Alligator mississippiensis: one gene and its partners. The protein of the gene in region 1 purifies or fractionates together with the protein of each later gene. This does not show direct contact. Links are inferred from orthologs where the notes say so. Each region holds a gene or a part of one and is shown on either strand. Other genes may lie near its edges.

Region 1 (7,296 bases):
GATGGGGACAGGGGAGTACAATACAACTCTCCAGCACTGGAGCAGAGGGAGCCAGGGCTATGCCAGGCAGGGCTGACACCTGAGCGGCTCGGCCCCGCTTTGCACTGAAGCAGGCTTGACGTACCCATGGGGCAGGTGGGGTCTTGGTCTGGCCTTCCACCTGAGCAGCTCCAGTGCTAAGGGGGGCCGAGCTGCTCAGGTGGGACGTCAGACCCAGACCCCATTTGCCGGGCGGGGAAGTCAACCCCACACGTTCCTCCAGCAGCAGGGGGTATTTTGCCACCTCCCTAAAAAAACAGCAGATTTTTCCAAAGAGCAAGGAAAAACCTCATCTTCAGCTGACTCACCCTCTTTGTCCTGTCTAGGCTGCGAAACAGCAGAGTGACAGCTAACAGACAGCACAACCACTCAAAGAAAAGTTAGCTTCGAAGATGAAGACCTGCTAAAAAGGAGACAGGGAGGTTAACACCTGTGGGGTGGAGAACAAGGAGCTATTAAGATAGGTGACCTCCTCGGCTGCCAGAAGATTAATAGAACAGCTGCTGCAGTGTGATGGAGGAAGCAAATCAGAGGCAGAAAATACACACAGCCTAATTTTTTTTAGGGGGGAGTGCATGTTGTTTGCAAGAAAAGATGGTAGAAACATGAGAAAATACGGTATCTTCTTGACACTGGCCACGTCCCACTCAGCTGGGGCAAAGAGCACCAGCAAAACCAGAAGGAAAAGGATGTCAAGCCAAGCGTGAAGATACCATTAATTCTTTCACTACCTCAGATGAAGGCAGAGGCATGTTTTAGAAGCCCCACGTGCGACTGAATTCCTGCTGGGCACAGCTAACAGCCAGCCAGCTTATCACAGATAGCAACAAGGTAATGAACGCTTCAGAAACATATCACAAACCTCAACTTAGCGAGGGGGAAACTGAGGCAGGACTCGTAGACAATGAGGGTGGGAAGGGACCTCAGGAGGTCACATCCAGTCCAACCCCCTGCTCCAAGCAGGACCAGCCCCAACTACATCATCCCAGCCAAGGAAGAGATTGAAACACTTACCCCAGGAAGCGGGGACGTCCAAGGCAGGGTTAGAACCGGGGAGCGCCTAGCATCAGGCTGTGCTCCCCACCTTGCTGTCTGGGTAAGCACAGAGCGTCCTCAATGATCACCTTACACCGGCCTGGAGCATGCACTTTTCCTGTGGGGGATGCAATGCTGCAGCAGCAGCCCTCACGGCTTCGAGTGATTCACGGAGCAGGTCACCCCGACGAAGCAGAGTAGAAACTCCGTGCCCACTACTGCGAGGTGGCTCTAAAATAAAGCACGACCACAGGCGCCGTGGCTGAATCGTGAGCCTGACAACACATTTGTGAGACACGCCCCGCTCCACGCAGACATGCACACACTTGATCCCAATCCTGGAGCTGACGCAGCTTTCCCTCTGGCCAAGCGCAATTGCCCATCCTCAATGCAAAGGCAGCCAGAGGGCCAAGCTGGCTGTGCAGCTAATGATTAATAGATCTGAGGAGTATTTCCAGGGTGGCTTTTCAATGCAGAGATTTTTTTTTTGTCTATGCACTGCAAGGTTTTTTCCTCTACTCACCACCGCAGCAGCTGGAGCTCTGAGCCAGCAGCTTGCTGTGGGGGGTGGTCTGCTACAGTTCCCGGATTTCTTCTCTGCTGAAATCCTGCTCTGCCATCCTCCAGCCCCTCTTGCCACTGCCCTCCCACCCCATGCTGCCAGCTCCCCACCTTTGGCTGCCCCACACAGGTCAGGATCCAGGGCCCGACGTTTCCCTCTGGTCACCACGGTCTCTTGCCTCGCTCCCTTGGTCCTTCCAGCGCTGGACCTGACTCAGCACCAGCATTGCAGGCATGAGAACCGCTGTCTCTCCTGCTGCAGGGCTTTCCCTGTTTAAACCCCCCCCCAAGCCCCTCTCCCCATCCAAGACGCTGCGCCCTCCCTGACAGCATTGTGCGCTAATCCGATCTATGCATCAGAGCTCTAAGCCCGCAGGGATGGGCTGCAGTCATCCTAATATTCAGGGCTGTTTGCTCAGGTCTGTCGAGCTGAATGGAGCGTAGTAAAGCTTTACCCTTTCCCTCTCGCTGCTGGGGGTCCTCCCTGTGCCCCACAGCAGCAAACACTGCCCGTGAAACCCGCTGCATCCGAGTAGGTTTTGCATGATGCATGGAGGTGCTAGGGCTCCCGTCTACCCCGTACCAGCCCCGGGGCAACTCCCCTTCAAAGCTGGTGGGGACCAGACCAGAGAGGAGAGTGATTTAGGCAAGGAAAACAAGCCAGAGGAGAGCAGATGCATGCTGTCCTGTATCTGATGGGGCCACAGGGAAAGACATCCTTTGGGCTGCTGAAGAAGCAAAGTCATCAAGCTGGACAAACAGTTTAACCCCTCTGGGAGCGCTTCTCCCAATCTCAAGGAGAGGGTGGATCTGCTGAAGACTTTATCACTTTTATGTGATGCTGCAAGGAAGTGAGATGATAGGTGCATTGGAGATGGCGCAGCTCAATATTGCCAAGAAGCCTGAGAAAGCTCTGACAGCAGCCGCTCCTCAAACCGACCCTGCTACAGACACAGGCAATATGGACTAAGTCAGGGCCAGCATTAGCTGCCAAAGCAGCAACATCTGTCAACCCAAGTCCCCCGTGAGCATCCTGAACAGCCTGAGAGCGACCACAGCACCAAGGGTGAGCCCAGAGCAGCCAAAACCACTGCATGTCTAGCAGGGACGTGCCCCCAGGCTGCGGGCTGCAATTATCAACCTAGGCTGTCTGGACGCGGGAGCTGATGCCATCCTCATTCCCGAGCTGTCCAGGCCTGCCTGGGCCCATCTGAAGCTGCATCCAGCAAACCGTTGGCCCCGATCCCTGCCGGGATGCTGAGTGAACAGCTTCTGCGTGAGATGGCGCCTGCATGAGACAACCTGTCTACACTTAACCTTCCCCTCCGCCTGCTGTCCTCTCCCCTGAGCTGGAGCGAAGCAAAGCTGAGCAGGGCGAAGGCAGATGTGGGCTGTCCACTGCGGGTTCAGGGCTCCCTGCCCTGCTGCCCTTCCCTTGGGAGCCCCATGCTTGCCCGCCAGTGGCAGGGGGCACAAGTTGCTACCCCCACTGCTGCCGGGTGGGCAGGGGCCACGTGGCAAAGGAAAGGCAGCAGGGTGGGGAGCCCCAAGCCCGCAGCGGGCAGCCCGCATCCACCCTGTGCACAAATCTGGGGTGCACGTGCCCCCCCCATCCCGCTCCCATGCACCGCTCTGGCTTGGCAGCACCCCCAGCCCCTCACTGTGGGGGCCACAATCTGCCCCCCCCCCCCCATGCCCCTTTCCTCCACAGCCTGACCTGCCGGGCGCTGCTCTCCACGCCGCCCAGCCGCGCTCCTGGCCACGTGCACCTACACGTGGGCCCCCTGCGTCTCGCTCCCGGAGGCCCCAAGCAGGCTGGAGAGCTTCCCGCCTGCAAAGGGAAACCCCCTCACCCTCCCATTGCCCCGGGCGTGTGCGTTAACCCTCCTCCGGACGCGAGGAGGGTGAGGAGGAAGTCAATCGAGATTTATGAGCGACTCGTAATAAAAAAACTAGGCACATGAAATGAGGTGAAAACAACAGGAAGTTTGTTCCCCCCCCCAGGACTTCATCAATCACAGAAGCACAGACCACGGGGGCTGCAAGGGACCTCGGGGGGTCACGTCTAGCGCAACCCCTGCTGCAAGCAGGACCAGCCCCAACTGCATCATCCCAGCCCAGGCTTGGTCTACCCGGGTCTTCAGGATGGAGATCGCACCACCTCTCTGGGCAGCCAGTGTTTTACTACCCTCCTCGTGAGAGCTTTTCCTAATATCCAACCTCAACTTTCCTTGCTGCAGCTGGAGCCCATTGCTCCTCGTTCCCCCACTGGGAACGGTGCCGGTCCAGCCCGGGAGCCGGGCGCCCCTTGCCCCTTTTGGCAGCCTGGCTCCACGGGCGGCCTCGCAGAGCCGACCTGAACCCCCGGCCGATAAACCCCACGTGCCGGGGCCGGCGGGTTACAACCGGGGTCACCGACTCTGGTCCAGGGGGCTTCATCGCGCCACGTCAGGACGTGAACGACACCGAGCGCCGCTGCACGCGGCGCATCACGCGACGGCCGCATTTTAAAACCCGCCGGACTCCTGTACCCATGGCACCCCGCATTTCACACTCGTGCTCGTGAATGCCCGGCGCTGCACCTCCAGCTGTTGCTGTGCCGAGATGGGCAAGGGGAGGGCGCCCTGCCACTGCCGCGCGCTGCCCTTGGTCGCGTCCCCTGACGGCGCACCACGTGACGCGCCGGGACCCATGTGACGCGGCGGCGGCAACTTCGTCCCGGGTGCCTCCTCCGCGCAGGCGCGTGAAGGCGTCACTTCCGCGGTGGAACTCCCGCGCGGCGGCGGGAAGCAGCCGGGCTGCGGGTGAGTAGCGCGCTAGGGAAGGGAAGGGAAGGGAAGGGGGGGCACGCATATGTCACTTCCTCCCCCATTAAATCGCCCCTCCCCCACTACCCCTCCAAAGGACACCTCTCCCCCCAAAGTGACCTTGCCCCCCCAGCCCCCCATCTCCCTGCCCCTCCCCCATCTGCCCCCCCAAAGGGTGCCCCTCCCCCACCCCTAGGGCACCCCTCTGCCCCTCCCCCATCTGCCCCATTGCCCCGCAGGGGTCGGGCCGTACTCATCCCCCCGCCCCGGCGCCCCCCCAGGAGTCATGTCGACGCTGTTCCCGTCGCTGCTGCCACGGGTGACGGAGACGCTGTGGTTCAACCTGGACCGGCCGTGCGTGGACGAGAACGAGCTGCAGCAGCAGGAGCAGCAGCACCAGGCTTGGGTGAGCGCGGGGGGGGGCCGCTGCTCCCCTGCCCCGCGCCGCCCCCAGCCCGTCCAGGAGCGCCGGGTCGCGGCGCGATCTCTCCGTGCGGGGCCTCGGGGGCGACGAGTCGTCAGGAGGGCAGGGCTCGACCCCGCGCGGTCCTTGCTTGCCTGCCGCGCGGCGTGGTGAGCCGCGTGCCCCGTGCCGACGCCTCTCCCTCTTCTCCCCCCAGCTCCAGAGCATCGCGGAGAAAGACAATAACTTGGTGCCCATCGGGAAGCCGGCCTCGGAAGTAAGCGTCGCGTCCCGTCTCTCCGTGCTGCCGAGTTTCCCCTGTTCGGGGAGCACGAAGCCTTTGAGTTGCGGTGTTAACGCCTGCAGCGCGTCAGGCGTGTTATTTCCGTGCGCACACCTCTAGTGCGTGCTAGTGCAACAGATCGCACGCCTTCGTACCAAACAGCTGCTTTCCAAGGGCGTTTCCGGAGGGGCTGCTCGCACGTGGGTCCTTGGTGAGGCGGGGAGCAGGGTTGAGCTCCATTCGGTGGCTGCTCGAGTCTGCCCCAATGCCCTCCGCCGGCACATGGGACCTGCTGCCTGCCCCCGAGATGGGAGGGGAGCTCTTCTCCGCCCCCCTGCTCCAGTATGGACAGGAGGTCGTTCTGCCCCTGGGGGACCGTCCCCATGAGGAAAGGGGCAGTTGCGTCCCATTTCCCCGTGGGGTGAAGGGGGCATCTCTGCACCCTGACGAGACGTGGGCAGGTGATTGCAGGGTGGAACTAGAGGCCGTGGGAAACCTGCGGGTGCTGAGGGGTGGGTGAGGCCCGTGAGCTGGGCGTGGGTGCAGGGGTCCCTGGGCCGTGGGAGAGGGCTGGGCTCTGACCGCTGTGGTCGCCCCCATACCTACAGCACTACGACGAGGAGGAGGAGGAGGACGATGAAGATGACGAGGACAGTGAGGAGGACTCGGAAGATGACGAGGATATGCAGGACATGGACGAGATGAACGACTACAACGAGTCCCCGGATGATGGAGAGATCAACGAGGTACGTGAGGTGGGGCCAACTCAGCGTCCTCCCAGCGTGGGCAGGGGTCCTGCAGGGCGGCGGAGCACGTCCCCTTCCCCTGCCCTGCTGCCCTTCGCTCCCACAGGGCAGCGGGCTTCTGCTCATCCTGCTCTGGGTCTCCTGAGCCAGCCTTGGTCGCATTTACTGGGCTTTTCCCACGGTGAGGCAGCCTGCATAGAGCCCTCCCGGCTCTCCTTACAGGACCCCATCTTGGGGTACCTTGCCTCCCCCCTCCTGCTGACTATGCTTGCCTAAATGACAGGCGAACCCTGTCATCTGAGGTCATGTAGACCCTTGCCCATACAGCCATTGAGCCCAGACAGCCTTCCCCTCCCCCACCACATTGCAGTTCTCCCCAGGGTCCTTCCTGTCCCTGGGGTCCCTGTTAGCAGTGGGTTTGCTGGAGCCGAGGGAGCAGCTCCGTTGTTTCCTCTTTCCAAGGTGGACATGGAAGGAGCGGAGCAAGATCAAGACCAGTGGATGATCTGACGCAGCGGTGGCCTGGCCAAGCGGGAGGCTGCTGGCATCTGCTGCCTGAGACGCTGAAGGGTCGGGGGAGAACTCTTCCCCCAGCTTGGGGTGGGGGTTTCCAACAGGCCCCAGCTGCACGGGGCCCCGGAGGATGTGGTGGCACAAGTGTCATGGGAGCTAGATGCTGGCTGCATCCTGGGCTCTGCAGAGAGCCGACTGGAGGGAGGCTCGTGGTGCTGGCGCCTGGACCTATGCCCGGCCACTCCACACGGAGGCAGCGCTTGTTCCCCGCTGACCCTGCTGGGGTTGGAGGGGCAGTTGGCATGGGCCAGGCAGCAGGGCCTGGCTCTGAGTGGCCAGAAAACCCCATCCTAGAAGTGCTGGAGATCTTCTAATAAATTACTTTTTAAAGAAATGCCTTCCCGGTCTTTATTAGCAACATCAGAGCTCCAGGACTGCTGTGCAGGCCTTGCTGTGTGTTGTACGTAGCCAGTGAGACCATGTTTTCCCCTCTCCTGCAGCTCACAACCGACGGAGCTGTTCTGATGCTGAATTCTTCCCATAGCCTGCCCAGGGCTGGTTCCCACCACTCTCGTTATAATAATAATGCGGGGTTTCTAGCCTATGTGATCCATCAGGTTGATGTCCTGTTCTGTGGTGAATCAGAGCTGCTCAGCTGAGCCCCTAGGCACAGAGGGGCTAAGAGCGTTGCCCAAGGGGACTGGGCACAGTGATGCATGCTGGTGTTGGGGGAAGCACCCTGGGCACTGAGCAGCTCTCATGTAGAGTGGATCGTGGCAGCAGGGTTCGGGAAAACGGGGAGAGACCGAATGGTTCAAGTCGTGGTCAAAAAACACATCCTGGCTGCAGCTTCCTCCCTCGCCTTGGCCTACAGGTGAAGTGCTCCTGGCAGGGGCTGAAGGGATTTGT
Region 2 (7,262 bases), about 240 Mb from region 1:
AAGCTTTCCTTTCCAGCTCGTCTCTACCAGCCCTAGAAACCTCTTTTAGAAGGGGGGGCAGGAGGGGGGTCTCCATGCCTGTTTGCTCTTCTGCTTGTTTGCAGAGATTGCTGATATATGCACCAATTATGAAATGCTCAGACTTATTTCCTTACTACCCTCTCACAATATTTTCCCAACCAAGAGAACAACGCAGTTATATTATAGTTAGAGTGCTGGAACACTCTTCTATCTGATACCCAAGGGCTTGGTTTACCAGAGGTACATTCCTTCCCAGCTGCATACAAACTCATGCATACACATCTCAAATCATGGATTATGAATAGCTGTAAACATTACACATGTCCAGCTAGATTCTGACAGACAAAAATAGAAAAAAGCTTTGCTTCTTTTACATGCAAAAAACTAACAAAAACAAAAACAAAAAAGATTAATCCATAATTTGCAGAAACGGACGATGTCAGAAGCAGTATTTTTTTGTTCCTTTAGATAGAATCTTACACTTCGCAGCCACCTGTGATGGCATAAAGCTTTTGCCCACCTGATTGTACAACATTTTATCTGTGTATTAGGGTTTCACAATCAGTTATGGAATACATCAAAGTAGGAGGGAGGGAATGGAGTAGGCATCATTACAAGTAAGATTGCTGCTGTGGGGGGAACTATTTGGGGCCTGTCCTACACACAATTTTCATACTAATCTAATGGTAGGTTAGGAACATCACTTTCTATCAAAACCATTAAATCAGTCTCACTGTTCTTACTCCAAGTGTGTCCCCACTTTGATGTCACCTTTGCCTGTCATCATTTCTCTCCCTTTCTTAGTCTTTCCTACTGGCTACATAAATCTACATCAGCATCCTCATCTCCATCACCCATATCATGGACGACTATTGTTTCTTTGTTGGCCAGCACTGATCTATACAATAGCACTGGCCTTGCCACTCTTAGAAAAATGCCAATTAATCTGGAAGAAAAAATTTACATCGTAAGTCATGGTAACCAACCCCACTTTATCCTTTATTTATTCTGTTCTTAATTTTCTCATCTGTCTCTATTTTTTCCACAATGGCGCTCGGGTACTTGAACGTATATGCAGGTGTGTGGGTCATCCAATCCCAGGGGTGCACTCCCTGAATAAGTGCATGACATGTATTCCATATTTTTCTCTGCTGATCCATAGACTATGCCTTTTCAGGATGTCCCTCCCCCTGCTCAAATCATTCTCTGCCTTTTGCAAAACCGACCACGTAGTCTACAAACATTATGCAACGTCATCCTTCTGAATGCTCCTGGTGAACATATCAAGAACTAATGCAAACAAAAAACAGGCATAGTGCTGACCCTTGACAAACCCCAACCTCGACTGGGAAATCCCGCCTTCCAGTGTGCGCTTCTAATTTGTGGTTTTGAGCCTCTACACTCATTTTGCACAACCCTCACACAGCTCTAGTACTAGTTGTTCCCTCATATATCACACCACTTCTCTTAATAGATACATGGTCACGTGCTTCTTCCACGTTAACAAACACCAGGTGAAAATTCTTCCCGTCTTCTCTGTACTTTTCCACTGGACATCTCACTGAAATAATTGCATCATTCGCTAATTTACCTGGCACAAATGTAAACTGATTTTTGCCATTTTTTACTTCCCTTCTCCCTCACAGTTTTAATTAACTCAGTATAAAATCTAATGTAGACATGTTTATATCTGTGCCTTGTAGCTGAAGAACTGCATCCCCATCAGAAGTGTGTTCTTATACTAATAGTTAATGTGGTATAGCTTTTGTATGTAAACTTGCCCTTTTGTCCTTTTCTTCATAGGGTGGATGTAGTTACTGCAGCAGCTTGTTTGTAGAAGCCAGATCAATGAAACCCATGTGACTACACATGGCTAGACAGAAATGTAACAACTGTGCTGAACCAGAGCACATCACTGCAATGAGAAACAGTGCAGTAAAATGTACTATCTATATTTTTACATGCGTTTCCTAAACAAATACATACAGCTATCCTATTTGCTCTTTGGAGGGAGTTCCTCAATATTTGGAGTTTAAGCATATATTAGTACATATATTATGTATTTTAGTACGTATAGTTCAAATAGTTAATGAAAAGTTTTTTTCTTCAAGCTCATTAGGTTTAATCATCAGAATAATTGTTTAATCAGTAAGTCCAACTCTACCTTCTGTTTTTCGTGGATTGTCACCTCCTGAAAAGATCCCACAAGGCCAGCAGCTCCATCAGAGGACCATAGCTCAGAAGCTGGCTGCAGCTCCCGCAGCTGAAGGTTCAGGGCATTAGGGTGGTGCCTGCAGTAGTCACGGCCAAAAGGAACAAACTCCTGCAAATCCCCGGCTGCAATCATCGTTGCCCTCTCTTCATGCTTGTTCGACATGGGTTCCAAATATCAACATTATTTCTGAATCCAAGACAAAACAGTCATCAGTGCCAGTCACGCCTCCGATGTCATGCAAATCACCTAGGTAATATTTAGCAGTTCACAACAAAAAACCTTTGCATGTAAACATGGATTTTCAAGAAAAAGAAATACGGGGAAACACATTTCAAGGCTCTTCAAGGTTCTGTAGTGTACAGTTCTGCTTGCCAGCTGACTTGCTCACTTATTCCTATTTCTCCTGAAGCCTGAGCCAAGCGTCCCAGGTTTTCACAAAGAAAACCACCAGGATAGCAGCGATTCCAGCACTGTCTGCCAAGCTCCTTACCGGTCCCACCCTTCCCACAGCTCTGTCCTCCCAACCACTGTACAGTGAGGCCACAGAAAAGCCTCCGCCCTGGCCCAACCCCGCTTTGGAGGGACCCTTTCCTGAGCTCCCGGTGAGGTGTCCGGGACCGCTACCCATACGCGCTCGGGCGCGCACGAACCTGCCTGCCACAGGAAAAAGGAGGGGCGGGGGGAGGGCGGGCGCGCGGCGGCAGCGGGACCGGGGCTCCTTCCGCAGAGCGCAGCGCAAGCCCCAGCGGCGCCTCACGCGGGCGCGGCCATCTTGGAATTCCCACCACCCTCCTCGGCTCGCAGGCTGCGTCACCGCGGCGGGGGGCGGGAGACCTCCGGGCTGTTGTCGCGGCAGCGGGGTACGGCCGGGAGGAGGGGACAAGACGGATGTACCATAATGATGGTGTTGGTGCCATCACTTCAGCCTTCGCACCATGTATGATTAACAGGGACCCTGGTTTTCTCTGCTTAAAAAAAACCCAACCCATTTCGGATTTAAAAAAACAAACACCCCACATCCACATTTTTCCGTGACTAAAATGAAACACCACTCTCTCTCTCGCTATATAAGTTGTGTAGGTTGTAGCCGTGTTGGTCTAAGGACATAGGCAGACAAGACTCTTTGGGTAAATCTAATATCTTTTATTAGACCAACTCAGGCAGTTGGAAAAAAAATTCTTTGCAAGCTTTCGGGTATTTCATAGATTTAATAGATTTCACGGACATTCGGGCTGAGCTGGAAGGGACCCTGGAGGATCATCGAGGCTAGCCCCCTGACCCAGGGGCAGGAAGTCAGCAGGGATCATAGGATCCCAGCAAGATAAGCATCCAAATGTGTCTTGAAGGCTTTCAGAGTAGGTGGTTGAACCACCCCCGACGACAGTCTATTCCAAACCTTGGGGGCTCAAGCAGTAAAGTTCTTCCTTATGTCCAGCCTGAAACGGTCCAGCGGAGTTTGTGACCGTTCGACCTTATCATCCCTTGGGGCACTCTGGTGAACAGACATTCCCCCAGATCCTGATGAGCACCCCTGATAAACTTATAGGTGGCCATCAGATCGCCCCTGAGCCTGCACTCTTCCAGGCTGAAGAGTCCTATGGCTCTTAGCCTGTCGTCGTAAGATCTGTTTTCCTGACCTCTGATCATGCGCGTGGTTCTTCTCTGGACTCTCTCAAGCTTCTCCACATCCTTTTTGAATTGTGGAGCCCAAAACTGGACACAGTACTCCAGCTGCGGCCTCATCAAGGCTGAGTACAAGAGGAGAATGACGTCCTGGGATTTGCTTGAGAAGCATCTATGGATGCAAGCCAGCATTTTGCTTGCTTTACTAGCTGCAGCGTCACATTAAGGCTCATGTTCATCTTGTGGTCAATCATGACCGCCAAGTCCCTTTCATCTGTAGTGCTAACCAGCGTAGCACTGCCGAGCCTATAAGCATGCTGCAGGTTTTTCCTCCCAAGGTGGAGAACCTTGCATTTTTGGGTGTTGAACACCATCAGGTTCTCATCTGCCCATTTCATGAGCCTGTCAAGATCTGCCTGGATCACCCTCCTGTCCTCAGGTGTGGATGCTTTACCCCAGAGTTTGGTGTCATTGGCGAACTTGGCCAGTCTGCTTCTGACACCAGTGTCTACATCACTGATAAAGATGTTAAACAGTAGAGGCCCTAGGACAGAGCCTTGAGGGACCCCACTGGTCACAGGGCACTGTGACAATTGGCTTCTGTCAACCACCACCCTCTGGGTCCTACTGCAGAGCCAATTCCCCAGCCAGTGGATCATGGTGAGGTTGAGTCCACAGCTAGCCAGTTTTGCCAAGAGGTGATCTTGGGATACCAGATCAAAGGCTTTTTTAAAGTCAGGATATACGACACCAATCTCTTCCCCCTTGTCCAGGTGATAGGTCACCTGGTCGTAAAAGGAAATGAGATTGGTCAAGCAAGACCTTTGTAAGGCTGAGGAAGCAAGAATTTTTTCCAACTATTTGAGTTGGTCTAATAAGAAATAGCAGCTTTACCCAAAGAACCTTGTTGCAATATATTAGAGGCATTCCATATTAATCATGGAAACGTGGATTTGGGGTTACTTTTTTAAACTGGAAATTGGGGATTTTTTTTCAGAGAAAGCCAGGATCCCTGACAATCAATAATAGAAAATGTGTTCAGAATGTACCTATTTTTGCGGCAGCTCATTGACAGCATATTCAAAACCCAAGTCACTTGCAAGGAGTCTTAACAGGCCTTTGGGTTTGCTGTCAGCATTTTCTTATGACAGCTTACCTCAAAATAAAGAAATGCTTCCAGTTGGATGGCCCAGTTCTCATGGTGACTTACAATGAGCAATATAAAGTAAATAAGAAGGCTTATTTGTATATTCATTTGCAATTTTTTTCAGTGTATGGTAGTTTTTCAGTAAATACAATAATTTCATACTTAAGACCTGGCAACACTAGACCTGCTGCAGAGCTCCTGGCAGTGTATCAGTGGCCCAGAGGGAAGGGACCTGCTGCTGCCACCTGGCTTTCGCCATGGAGGTGGAGATGGAGGACAGTGATGCTGTGGCAGGAGGCCCCTGCCCCAGGGTAAGGCAATGCCCAGGCATGCTAATGGCCCTGTGGTTAGGTATAGGGGTGTGGGGCAGAGCCATCCACGCTGCCCGTGTCACTGACAGTGGGGGAGGCAGCTTGGAGGCAGGTGGGATGTGAAGCCACTGGTACAGACACACCACCCTACAAGAGCTTCTGAGGACTTTTTTTAAGTTCCCAAACATGTAAGCATCCCTGATTTTTCTCTGCATGCTCTAAGGCAGGTGCCCTCCCCTCCCCTTCCCAGTCACTGCAGTTTTCCCATTTGTTCCAGAGCTGGGGATGCTTCTGTGCTGGGTACAGTGCAGCAACAGGAAGGGGCTAGGTTCCTCCACTCTGCCCATTCCCCCCAGGAGTAGGCACTGTGGCTGCCCCCTGTCCTCCCCCTCTCCCCTGCAGCCCAGTTGGAATGAGTAGGATCAGCTCTGAAGATTTCACCCCCCCCCACCCCCTCCCCAGGAAGTGGAAATAGGAGCAGGACAGGTGGGGAACAGAGGAAGGGGAAGAGAGGAGATGTGCCTCTGACTCTGGAGGAGAACGGAGGATTCTCGTCCACTTAAAAAGAAGTCCCCAGAGGCTCCAGCAGCACAATCCAGTCCAAAAGAGGGATGTAGTCACCCTACTGCACCCCCTCTGGATCCACCCCTGGGATGAGGGGGCAGGGTGCCTTTGCTGTTATTATTAGAGCAGGGAACCAGCCTTGGAAGAGGGAAGCTATCACTCAGCTTTCACCAAGGCAGCGGGGCTCTCTGTCTTGGTGTTGTCACCATAGTGGCAGGTTTTGCTCAGGGTGGAACTCAGCTGCCACTACTGGGATGTAGAGGTAGGAGCAATGGCAGCTGTTCAAAGAGAAGAGAGATAGGGATCTCCAAGAAGTAAGGGAGCTTGGGCATGTCTGTACCGTGGTATCCAGGGAGGTATTGCACAGGAGCTGCTGCGGCAGAACCTGGGCACTTCTCAATGCAGAAAGAATGCTCTGCCATCTGGGTTTACTGGGAGAAAGTAAATCAGGCATAATGCAGAAGTCTCAAGCCTACTATCTAGTTGGGATTCTCAGATACACATTCTGCCCCTGAAAACAGGATGGGCGAAGCTCCTCTACCTCCAACCTTTTGGCCTGCAAGCCACTTCCCTTCCATTTCTTTGGAAGTTGATCTCCCCAGTTATGAAACAAATAAGAGTGACCAGTTGGTTACTATATTGTGAACTGGCTACCCACAATGTGAGGGAACCCCATGCACCCCTGGGCCCAGCAGACTGCAGCTGCCGCAATCCCCCAGGCCCAGGGGACCAAGGCAGCCACAATCCCCCATGCCTGGGGGTTTCACAGTAGGCAAGGTGCAACCCTGTGGCTGGGAGGTCTGTCAGCTGAGAGGATTCCCAGCTGCAGGGGAGACCCTGCTTACACATGCAAATTAAAGCTAGATAGCAACCAGCTGTAAAGTTGTACACATTTTCAAGGTCTAACTTTATAGTTGGTTGGAGCTTTTTATTGTGTATTATAACTACTTTGCAGGTGTAGCTGGTATCAAAGTAATTGCACAATACCTGTAACATGTAGAGGGGGCTTCAGAAGAAGGTGTTTACAGGTAACCCCTAACTGAGCAGCCCCTGGCCACAGTCCACAAGTGGATGGAAGAATTAGAAATAAATATGTATAATAATGATTTCTCTTTTGCAGTTCAAAGTCTCATTTCTATTCTAAATTCGTATTTGCAGTCTCAGTTTCCCTGTAATGTCCAGATCACTGAAAATGACCCTAGTGTCACTACATCACTAATTCACAGCCATATTGAACTAGTCTTATGTCATCCCTTTAAAGAACCTAGTCATCTTTAAGAGTACAAGTTTTTTTTCATCAAGCAATTGGCCCTTCTAGCCACAATAAGCTGCCATGCCAAGCAGCCTCCATTAAAAGGGAACATCTCATATTCCCTCCCCC
Region 3 (7,898 bases), on another chromosome or scaffold:
CTGAGAACAGTCTAGTTCAGGAGTGGGCAATGATTTTGGCTGGAGGGCCACTTAATGACTTCTGCTGAGCTGTCAAGGGTTGCACACCTAAAATCTTTTAGAATATATAATTTTAACAAATTATAAATAAAAAACAAAATTATACTAAAAATCAAATATCTAAAGCATATTTTAATTTTATTTAAAAAATATTTTTTGTCTTCGTTTATGTTTTTTGAGTAGCATATATAGAGGCAACTGCATAATAGCTCAAAATACAGTAGAGGTGAATCAATACATTGGTCTGATATTGGATCGGCACCAATATCAAGAAAATTGTCTATATCGGAAATCAGCCTTTTGTGGGTAATAAATGGCCCTTGTATGCGCGCAGCCATAGCACAACACATAGGCAGTGAGGAACACAGCCCCGGGCAGTTGCAGCTGGTAAGTCTCTTGTAGTGGAAGGGGAGTGGAGACCGGGGCAGATCAAGGCCCCTCTGGTGAGGGAGGGAGTGAGACTGGGGAAGATGCTTCCCAGCCTGGGGGCAGGGTGGGGAGAAGGGGGAGGGTATGGCACAGAGTCACAGCTGGGGGGGGAGGCAGGGAGGGGCGGGGCACGGGCATGGGAAGGGGGGAGTGGCTCCTGCCCTGCACACTGCTCATCCGGGAGCCGCTCATCCGGTGGCTCCAGCTGCTGCTCCCGTCACTCGTCCAGGAGGGCATGGGGGGGTGTGCCCCCTTATCTGTGCAGAGAAGGGTGGGCCAGGGCTGGGCCAGGCTGCATTCAGGGTGGGCAGTAGCACTGGGAGGGGGCTATGGCGGGGACTACAGCAAATTTCGGGGTGGCTGCAGCCCCTCCAGCCCCCTCCCACCGCCACCACCACCCACAGCCCAGTCCACACCCCTGCTGGGAAGAGCCCAGTGCTGTACCCTGCCCCTCCTTGCCCCTCAAGGCACACGCCCCCACCCCTGTGTCCTCCAGGGGTGCGCGCAGCAGTGGGAGCTGCCCCCACCAGATGACCTGCAGCTCCATCCTGTGCCCCACCCCACCCCGCCCCAGCTGGGCAGTGCCTGCCCCACCCCCACTCCCTCCCTCACTGCAGGGGCCTTCATCTGCACCCCCACTTGCCTTCCCCTCCCCCACCCCTTCCACCACAACAGACTTACCAGCTGCACACAGCTGTTTTGGAAATCAAAGTGGTATTTGCTAATATGTCTTCTTAAAAATTGGCTATCAGTATCAGCCCCAAAAATCTCTATCAGTGCACCCCTAAAATACAGTCTTACTCTAGTATATTGTGGGGGGTAGGGAGGCAGTGTGTGTGTATGTGGCAGAGGGCAGGGGGGTGTGAGGAGCTGCCTAGTTGCTAGGTCCTGGGAGCTGGGCAAAGGTGGGGGGCTAGGGGCAGGTGCAGCAGAGCTCAGCCAGGTGGTGCAGATGCAGGTGTGGTCAGCTACTCCCAACCCCACACCCAAGCCGCAGATGCCCCTGCGGTGCTCCACATGGGGCTGAGCCCTGCCTGGGGCAGTCCCATCTGCACCTGCTGGCTCCAGCCAGCATGCACAGCTTCCCCAACATGCACAGCTTCCCGGCAGGGCTGCAGCTGTTTAGGTATTGCTTGGTCTCCCCCACACCTCCAGCAGCTCCTCCTCCTTCTCCTGCCATATGCGCCGGGAGAGGAGAGTGGTGGGGAAGAGCTGCAGCCAGGAGGCTCCTGCCCCAGTGCACCTTCCACCCACTCTGCCTGCCCAGTGTGATGAACAGACATGAGCAGCCACCTCTGGGTGGCCGAGTGGACAGAAGATGGCTGGGAGCTGGAGGTCAGCATGCTGGGGAAGGAGCTGCCTGGCTGCAGAGTCCCTCCAGCCTGGAGTGGTGCAGCAGGGGCAGGAGGAGGAACCACTGGAGGTGTGGGAGCAGCCCCGCCAGGAAACTGTGCGCTGGCTGGGGCCGTTGGCAGATGTAGGCTGCCCTGGGCAGGAGAACAAGTCGAGCCAGGCTCCATGTGGAGCACTGCAGGGGCAGCCACAGGCTGGATCCAATCAACTGGCTGGCCGGCAGTTTGCCCACCCTGGTCAAGTTCCATCCTCTTTGTGATCATCCTGCCAGTAGCTGAAGGCTGCTATTAAATCCTCTCTCAATCTTCCCTTCTCCAGACGAAAATAAGGCCAGTGCCCTCAGCCTTTCCATAAGTCATGTCCCAGCCCCTGAGCCATTGTTGCTGCCCTCTGCTGGACTCTCTCCAATTTGTCCACATCCTTTCTATAGTTGGGGGGGGGGGGGGGGGGGGGGGCAAAACTGGACACAGTGCTCCAGATGTGGCCTCACCAGTGCCAAACAGAGAAGAATAATCACTTCCCTTGACCTGCTGGCAACACACCTACCAGTGCAGCCCAGTATGCCATTAGCCTTCTTCAGAACAAGGGCACTCTGCTGGCTCATATCCAGCTTACTGTCCACTGTCCACTATTATCCATAGTCCACTGTAACGCCCAGGTCCTTTTCTGCAGAGCTGCTACCCAGCCAGTCACCCCCGGCCTGTCCCGGTGCACGGGATTGCTCCGTCTTAAGTGCAGGACTTTGCACTTGTCCTTGTTGAACCCCATGAGATTCCTCTGGGCCCAGTCCTCCGGGTTGTCTCGGTCCCTCTGAACCCCAGCCCTGCACTCCAGTGTACCCACTACTCCCCCCGCTTGGTGTCATCCGCAGACTTGTCTTTCTCGCCTCCGCACGGCGGCGGAGCTCCCCGGGACGCCCCGCGCACGGCAGGCGGCCCCGGCCGCGGCGGCCCCTGGGACGGGAGCGCCGAGTGCGGCCGGGTCTCGACGCGCCTCACCTCGAGGTCCTTCCTGATGCTCTCGAACTCCTCGATGTCGTCTAGCTTCAGCTCCAGGCGCGTCGGCTTCCGCCGCAGCATCGCGAGCGCCACCGGCCCCGCCGCCTCTCGCCGGCAACCGGACAGCCCGGCCCCGACCGCTGCCGCAAACCTGCCCACTTCCGGCCGGCGCCTCCCGGCATACCCTGCGCTCACTTCCGGCCGGCGCCTCCCGGCATGCCCCGCGCGGCAACCCGGAACCAGTTGGGTGAAGACAGGCCCGTAGTGCGGAGAGTCCCTGCAGCGGCCGGTGTTGCCGTCGCCATGGCGTCCGCGCGGGGCCCTGCGGTGCGGGTGAAGCGGGGCTCGGGGGATCGGGGCGCGGTTGGGGCCGGGCCGGGCTGGGCTATGCGATGCGGGGTCTCTCGTTGCGTGCACCGGGCCCAGAGCGGGGGGAGGGAGTTGGCGTTTCTCCTTGTCCCTGATTGTGGGCGGCGCGGGCCCACCCCGTGAAATCTGCTTCTTGCCCGGGTCCGCCCGGCGCCGGCTCCCCGAGGTCCTGGAAGGGATCTGAATGCCCCCGGCAGGGCCATGGCCCCTGGTCCCTGGGTGAGAATCACCGCAGCGGAGGGGTGCACGGGAGTGCTGCGTAACACCGGTGGTTGTGAACACGTCGATCAGTTGTATCCCTGCAGCAGGTTTTAAGACTCAGGTAGACAAAGGGTTGGCTGGGATGATCCAGTTGAGGGGGGCCCTGCTTCAGGCAGGGGGCTGGACTGGATAAAATCGGAAAACGAGGGTTGGAGGGGACCTCAGGAGGTCACATCTAGTCCAACCCTCTGCTCAAAGCAGGACCATCTCCAACTCTACCGTCCCAGCCAAGGCTTTGTCTACCTGGGTCTTAGAAACCTCTAAGGATGCAGACGACGTCTCTGGGTAACCTGAGGCCTGTTCCAACCCTCGTTTTGTATGACTTTAGACTTAAAGTTGAAACATCCCGTTATAAATTTGGGATCATACCCTGGCAGCATTGCAGTTGCTGGGAAATTTGCTAGTAACTTACAACAGGGTTGGATTTTTGTGCCTTTATTTTTGACTTGCTGCCCAACCTTGTGTTTACTCCCTAAAAGTTGAAGGGATATGTGCTGTTGTTAAGCACAAATTGATATGAGTGCATCGGAAAGCAAGTCTGGGATATATTTTTACACGTTGTAAAGAGGCATAAATAAAGAAATCCCTGCCCGGTTTCCTTAAGCATAATTTGTGTTGAGGAATCCCTTCCCTGTTCAGAGCTAATGTTCTAGGTATAATTTCAGGGTTTCTGGTCTGGGTAGACCAGAAACCCTGAATGATTTGTGCAGCCAAAGCAGTTTGCTGAATTGCTGCTCCCAAGCCGGATACATACTGAACCAGTCTGTTAAAATCTTGCTTTTATTTTGTAGGCAACAAAAACCAAGATCTCAGACGAGAGTGATGCTCCCCCAGTCAAGAGACCTCATATCTTCTATGGAAGTTTGGAGGAGAAGGAAAGGGAGCGTATTGCCAAAGGGGAGCTGGGGCTGCTAGGAAAAGATGGGATGAAAGCTGCAATTCAGGCTGGCAACATTAACATTAGCAGTGGTAAGAACACACTCTGTATAGTGCTTTCAGCTTCTTTTCTTGCTTCTGGCTTAGAGATATTTAAAAAGACATTTTTGTTGGGGTTCAGCTCAGGGCTTTAGGACAGCCCCTGATCTGCTGCTGTGTTTTAATACAGAAATTTTGGCTGCAGAGACTACAAGCCATCCAGTATTCCATCATGATTTGAATGGGGGTGGGAAGTCCATTGCCAGCACTGACCGTCCCTACCCTAAATGGGCAAAAATATTTATAGCTTTTAATGGTTATAGTTGTCTAAGTCTCTGGTGCAGTTGTCATTGCTTCAATTTGATGGCTTTGTTTCTGGCATAGGTGAGGTCTTCGATCTTGAAGACCATATGAGTGAGCGCCAGGCAGAAGTGTTGGCTGAATTTGAGCGCAGGAAGCGTGCTAGGCAAATCAATGTTTCCACCGATGACTCTGAAGTCAAGGCCTGCTTACGAGCTCTTGGGGAGCCCATCACACTCTTTGGAGAAGGGCCTGCAGAAAGAAGAGAAAGGTGCTGTGTCTTGTCCTTTGTGTGGCCTGCCCTGTAACCAAATCATAAATCTCTTGTAAAACTCCTTGAGCTGTTGAGTGCACTGAATGCTGTTGCCCACTGTTCCTTCTCAGTGATATAACAGCAACTGATCAATTTCTTCTTCATTCACTCTTTACATCTGTCAGACATGGTCAAGAATGCCTGAGAAGTTATTGACTGAATCTTATTTAATGCTTGGTGTGTTTCATTTCAGATTGAGAAATATCCTCTCGGTGGTTGGCACTGATGCCTTAAAAAAAACGAAGAAAGATGACGACAAGTCTAAGAAAGCCAAAGAAGAGGTAAACATCTCTCCCATTCTTGGATTCTGCAGGTTATTAATGTAGAGAGAAGGAGACCATTTTATAGAAACCTTCAAATTCCTTCATGGACCATCTGTAACATTTCCAGAGCTCTGACATTGATTTTTTGGTATCATTAGACAGCCTGATAGTGTAAGGTGGACTTATCAGTATACGACTTATAGGACAGTGACATCCTAAGGCAGGGGTGGGCAAAATGGTGGATCTGGCTAGTGGTCAGACTTCTTTTCCCAGCAGCCCCTGTCCATGTTGCTACAGCCGTTTTCCATGGCTATCTCAGAAGTGGTGGCACTGTGACAGCGCGGGGCCAGGGTTTCCATGGAGACTGGCCCCAGCAGTGCTGGTAGGGCGCGTGGCAGGGCAGGGAGCTGCTCCGCAGCCAGGGCTGGGATCTTGCAGTAATGACAGTGTGGTCTGGAGCTGGAGCAGAGCCACAATCCATTGCACGTATGCCCCTGCCTGGGACTTGCAGGCAGTGTTCCCTCTAAGGAGCAGCGGTCCATGAGTGTGCCGCCTCGGCCTAGCATGGGACACTTACCAGAGGGGGCTGGGGGCTAGGGCTGGAGGCTGGAGCTGGAAGCCGGGAGCCAGGGGCTGGAGCTGGGGCCCAGGGGCTGGGCCAGAGGCTGGAGCCAGGGGCCAGGGGCTGGGCCAGAGGCCGGAGCCGGGGGCCAGGGGCTGGGGCAGAGGCTGGGGCTGAGGGCCAGGGGCTGGAGTCGGAGCCTGGTGCAGACTCCCTGGCTCCGAGGAAGTGCTTTGCTCCCCTGCATCAGGGCCGGGGAGTGGAGCACTTCCCCGGAGCTGGCGGAGCCCGCACCAGTCCCCCGTCCCAGCCTCCATCGCTGCCTTGCCTAACCTTAGGGAGGAACCGCTGCCTGCCCTGAGCGAGGCTCCGCAGGCTCCGGGACACTGCTTCACACCCCGGCACCGATGCCACGTGCCTCCTTGCTCCCTGAGGCGATGCAGGGGAGTGGAGCAGTGTCCCGGAGCCTGCAGAGCCTCACTCAGGGCAGGCAGTGGCTCCTCCCCAAAGTGAGGCAAGGCATCGATGGAGGCTGGGGCGAGCGGCTGGTGCAGGCTGCGCCAGCTCCAGGGAAGTGCTCTGCTCCCCTGCCCTGATGTGGGGGAGCGGAGCACTTCCTTGGAGCCGGCGGAGCCCATGTTAGGCTCGCGCCCCAGCCTCTCCCAGTGCACAGCCTTGAAAAGGCTGTCCGTGGCCACACTTTTAGTTGTGCACATGCACGCGCCTTAGAGGGAACCTTGCTTACAGGTAGCGGATCACAGCTCTGCCTCTGCTTTGGACCATGCTGTCACTGCCGCAAAATCCCAGCCCCAAAGCAGCTTCCCACCACCGCACTGTGGGCCCTGCCAGCCCTGGTAGAGGCAGTCTCTATGGAAACTCTCGTGCTGCACTGTCACAGTGCCCCTGCTGCTGGGGTCTCCATGGAAACCGGCCACAGCAGTACAGGCGGGGTTGCTGGGAAATGGAGTCTGCTGCAGGCTGGACTTTGACTGCTCTTGTCCTAAGATGTTCTTGAATTTGTTTGGTTTGTTTTCTTTTTTTTAGTATCAGCAAACCTGGTACCATGAAGGGCCAAGCAGTCTGAAAACAGCTAGATTGTGGATCGCCAACTACTCACTCCCCAGGTAAAGAAAGGGGCTGTAAAGCAAGCAAAATGAAAGAAGGTGCAAGCTTTTCTGAAGAGCAATGAACTCAGTAGATGATGGGCAGTGCAGGCGTTTGAGGTTCAGGATAAGAGGCAACACTGGACATGCAACAAAGGCTAGAGCCGAGCGTAACTGGACTTGGAGGTTGTGCGCTTAGTTTGAGTCTTGCCACAGAGTTTTGCTGGCAGAACTCCAGCTCACACTCAATACCTCTCTGCAGTGGCAGAACCTTTTTGTCTGTTGGTAGAATCATTTCACCTCTGCAAAATGGAGTAAGGCTTTTGCTGACACCCAGCGGCCAGCTGAAGAGGTTACAGACACCACTGTGCTTTTAGCTGCAGTTCAGTCAGCAGCTAGTGTCTTTCCACTGGACACTTCGTGCTCCAGCAGCCCAGGTGCAGAGCGGAGCTGCACAGAGCTACCAGTAGCAGATTGGTGTGCACATGCTCTGGTGGTTCAGCACTAGCAGCAGAGACGAAGGAGTGTAGATATAGCCTGAATAGTGGTTGTAAGACTCCAGCTCTGGGACAGAAGGGAAGGTAAAGGATCTGTTCCCTGCCCTACAGCAGGGAAGTGCAGGGATTCATCATTATAATTTTGTTTCTGCCACAGGGCAGTGAAGCGGTTGGAAGAAGCCCGACTGCTCAAAGAAATTCCCGAGGCTACGAGGACATCCCAGAGGCAAGAACTGCACAAGTCCCTAAGGGTAGGTGTGGTTTCATCTCAGCTACTCTCTCGTGATAAGACATCAGCAAGGGGTTAAGAGAACAGAATGCAGAGGCCTACACTAATCTCCCAGTACACATTATTCTTCCTTCCATGCATGTTGTGCTTTCACTGTGTTCTGCCTGTCCTCCCTTTTTTATCATCAGGCTTGTCAGTGGTTTGAGAGCGGGACTTGGCTTTAAATACTCTGCCTGCAGGACAAAAAACTGCAGAGACAGTTGTGCA

Evidence for each region. The genes of interacting proteins can lie anywhere in the genome.
Region 2: the proteins of ANAPC15 (region 1) and ANAPC1 purify together in Homo sapiens (affinity purification with mass spectrometry; 3 studies listed by BioGRID and IntAct, with this or other methods). This does not show direct contact. The link is inferred for Alligator mississippiensis from reciprocal best matches to the Homo sapiens genes ANAPC15 and ANAPC1.
Region 3: the proteins of ANAPC15 (region 1) and CDC26 purify together in Homo sapiens (affinity purification with mass spectrometry; 3 studies listed by BioGRID and IntAct, with this or other methods). This does not show direct contact. The link is inferred for Alligator mississippiensis from reciprocal best matches to the Homo sapiens genes ANAPC15 and CDC26.

What each region holds. Positions count from the first base shown.
Region 1 is NC_081824.1:477,729,492-477,736,787, reverse strand, and holds ANAPC15 (anaphase-promoting complex subunit 15), read left to right. Parts: upstream 1-4,357; 5' UTR 4,358-4,439; intron 4,440-4,723; 5' UTR 4,724-4,728; coding exon 4,729-4,848; intron 4,849-5,062; coding exon 5,063-5,122; intron 5,123-5,736; coding exon 5,737-5,874; intron 5,875-6,336; coding exon 6,337-6,384; 3' UTR 6,385-6,781; downstream 6,782-7,296. UniProt on the Homo sapiens protein: Component of the anaphase promoting complex/cyclosome (APC/C), a cell cycle-regulated E3 ubiquitin ligase that controls progression through mitosis and the G1 phase of the cell cycle.
Region 2 is NC_081824.1:237,110,627-237,117,888, reverse strand, and holds the start of ANAPC1 (anaphase-promoting complex subunit 1), read right to left. Parts: upstream 3,008-7,262; 5' UTR 2,887-3,007; intron 2,423-2,886; 5' UTR 2,399-2,422; coding exon 2,186-2,398; intron 1-2,185. UniProt on the Homo sapiens protein: Component of the anaphase promoting complex/cyclosome (APC/C), a cell cycle-regulated E3 ubiquitin ligase that controls progression through mitosis and the G1 phase of the cell cycle.
Region 3 is NC_081835.1:49,102,250-49,110,147, reverse strand, and holds the start of CDC26 (anaphase-promoting complex subunit CDC26), read right to left. Parts: upstream 3,008-7,898; 5' UTR 2,901-3,007; coding exon 2,820-2,900; intron 1-2,819. Other genes in the region: PRPF4 (U4/U6 small nuclear ribonucleoprotein Prp4), read left to right, coding at 3,036-3,152, 4,241-4,418, 4,749-4,935, 5,171-5,258, 6,847-6,926, 7,560-7,653. UniProt on the Homo sapiens protein: Component of the anaphase promoting complex/cyclosome (APC/C), a cell cycle-regulated E3 ubiquitin ligase that controls progression through mitosis and the G1 phase of the cell cycle.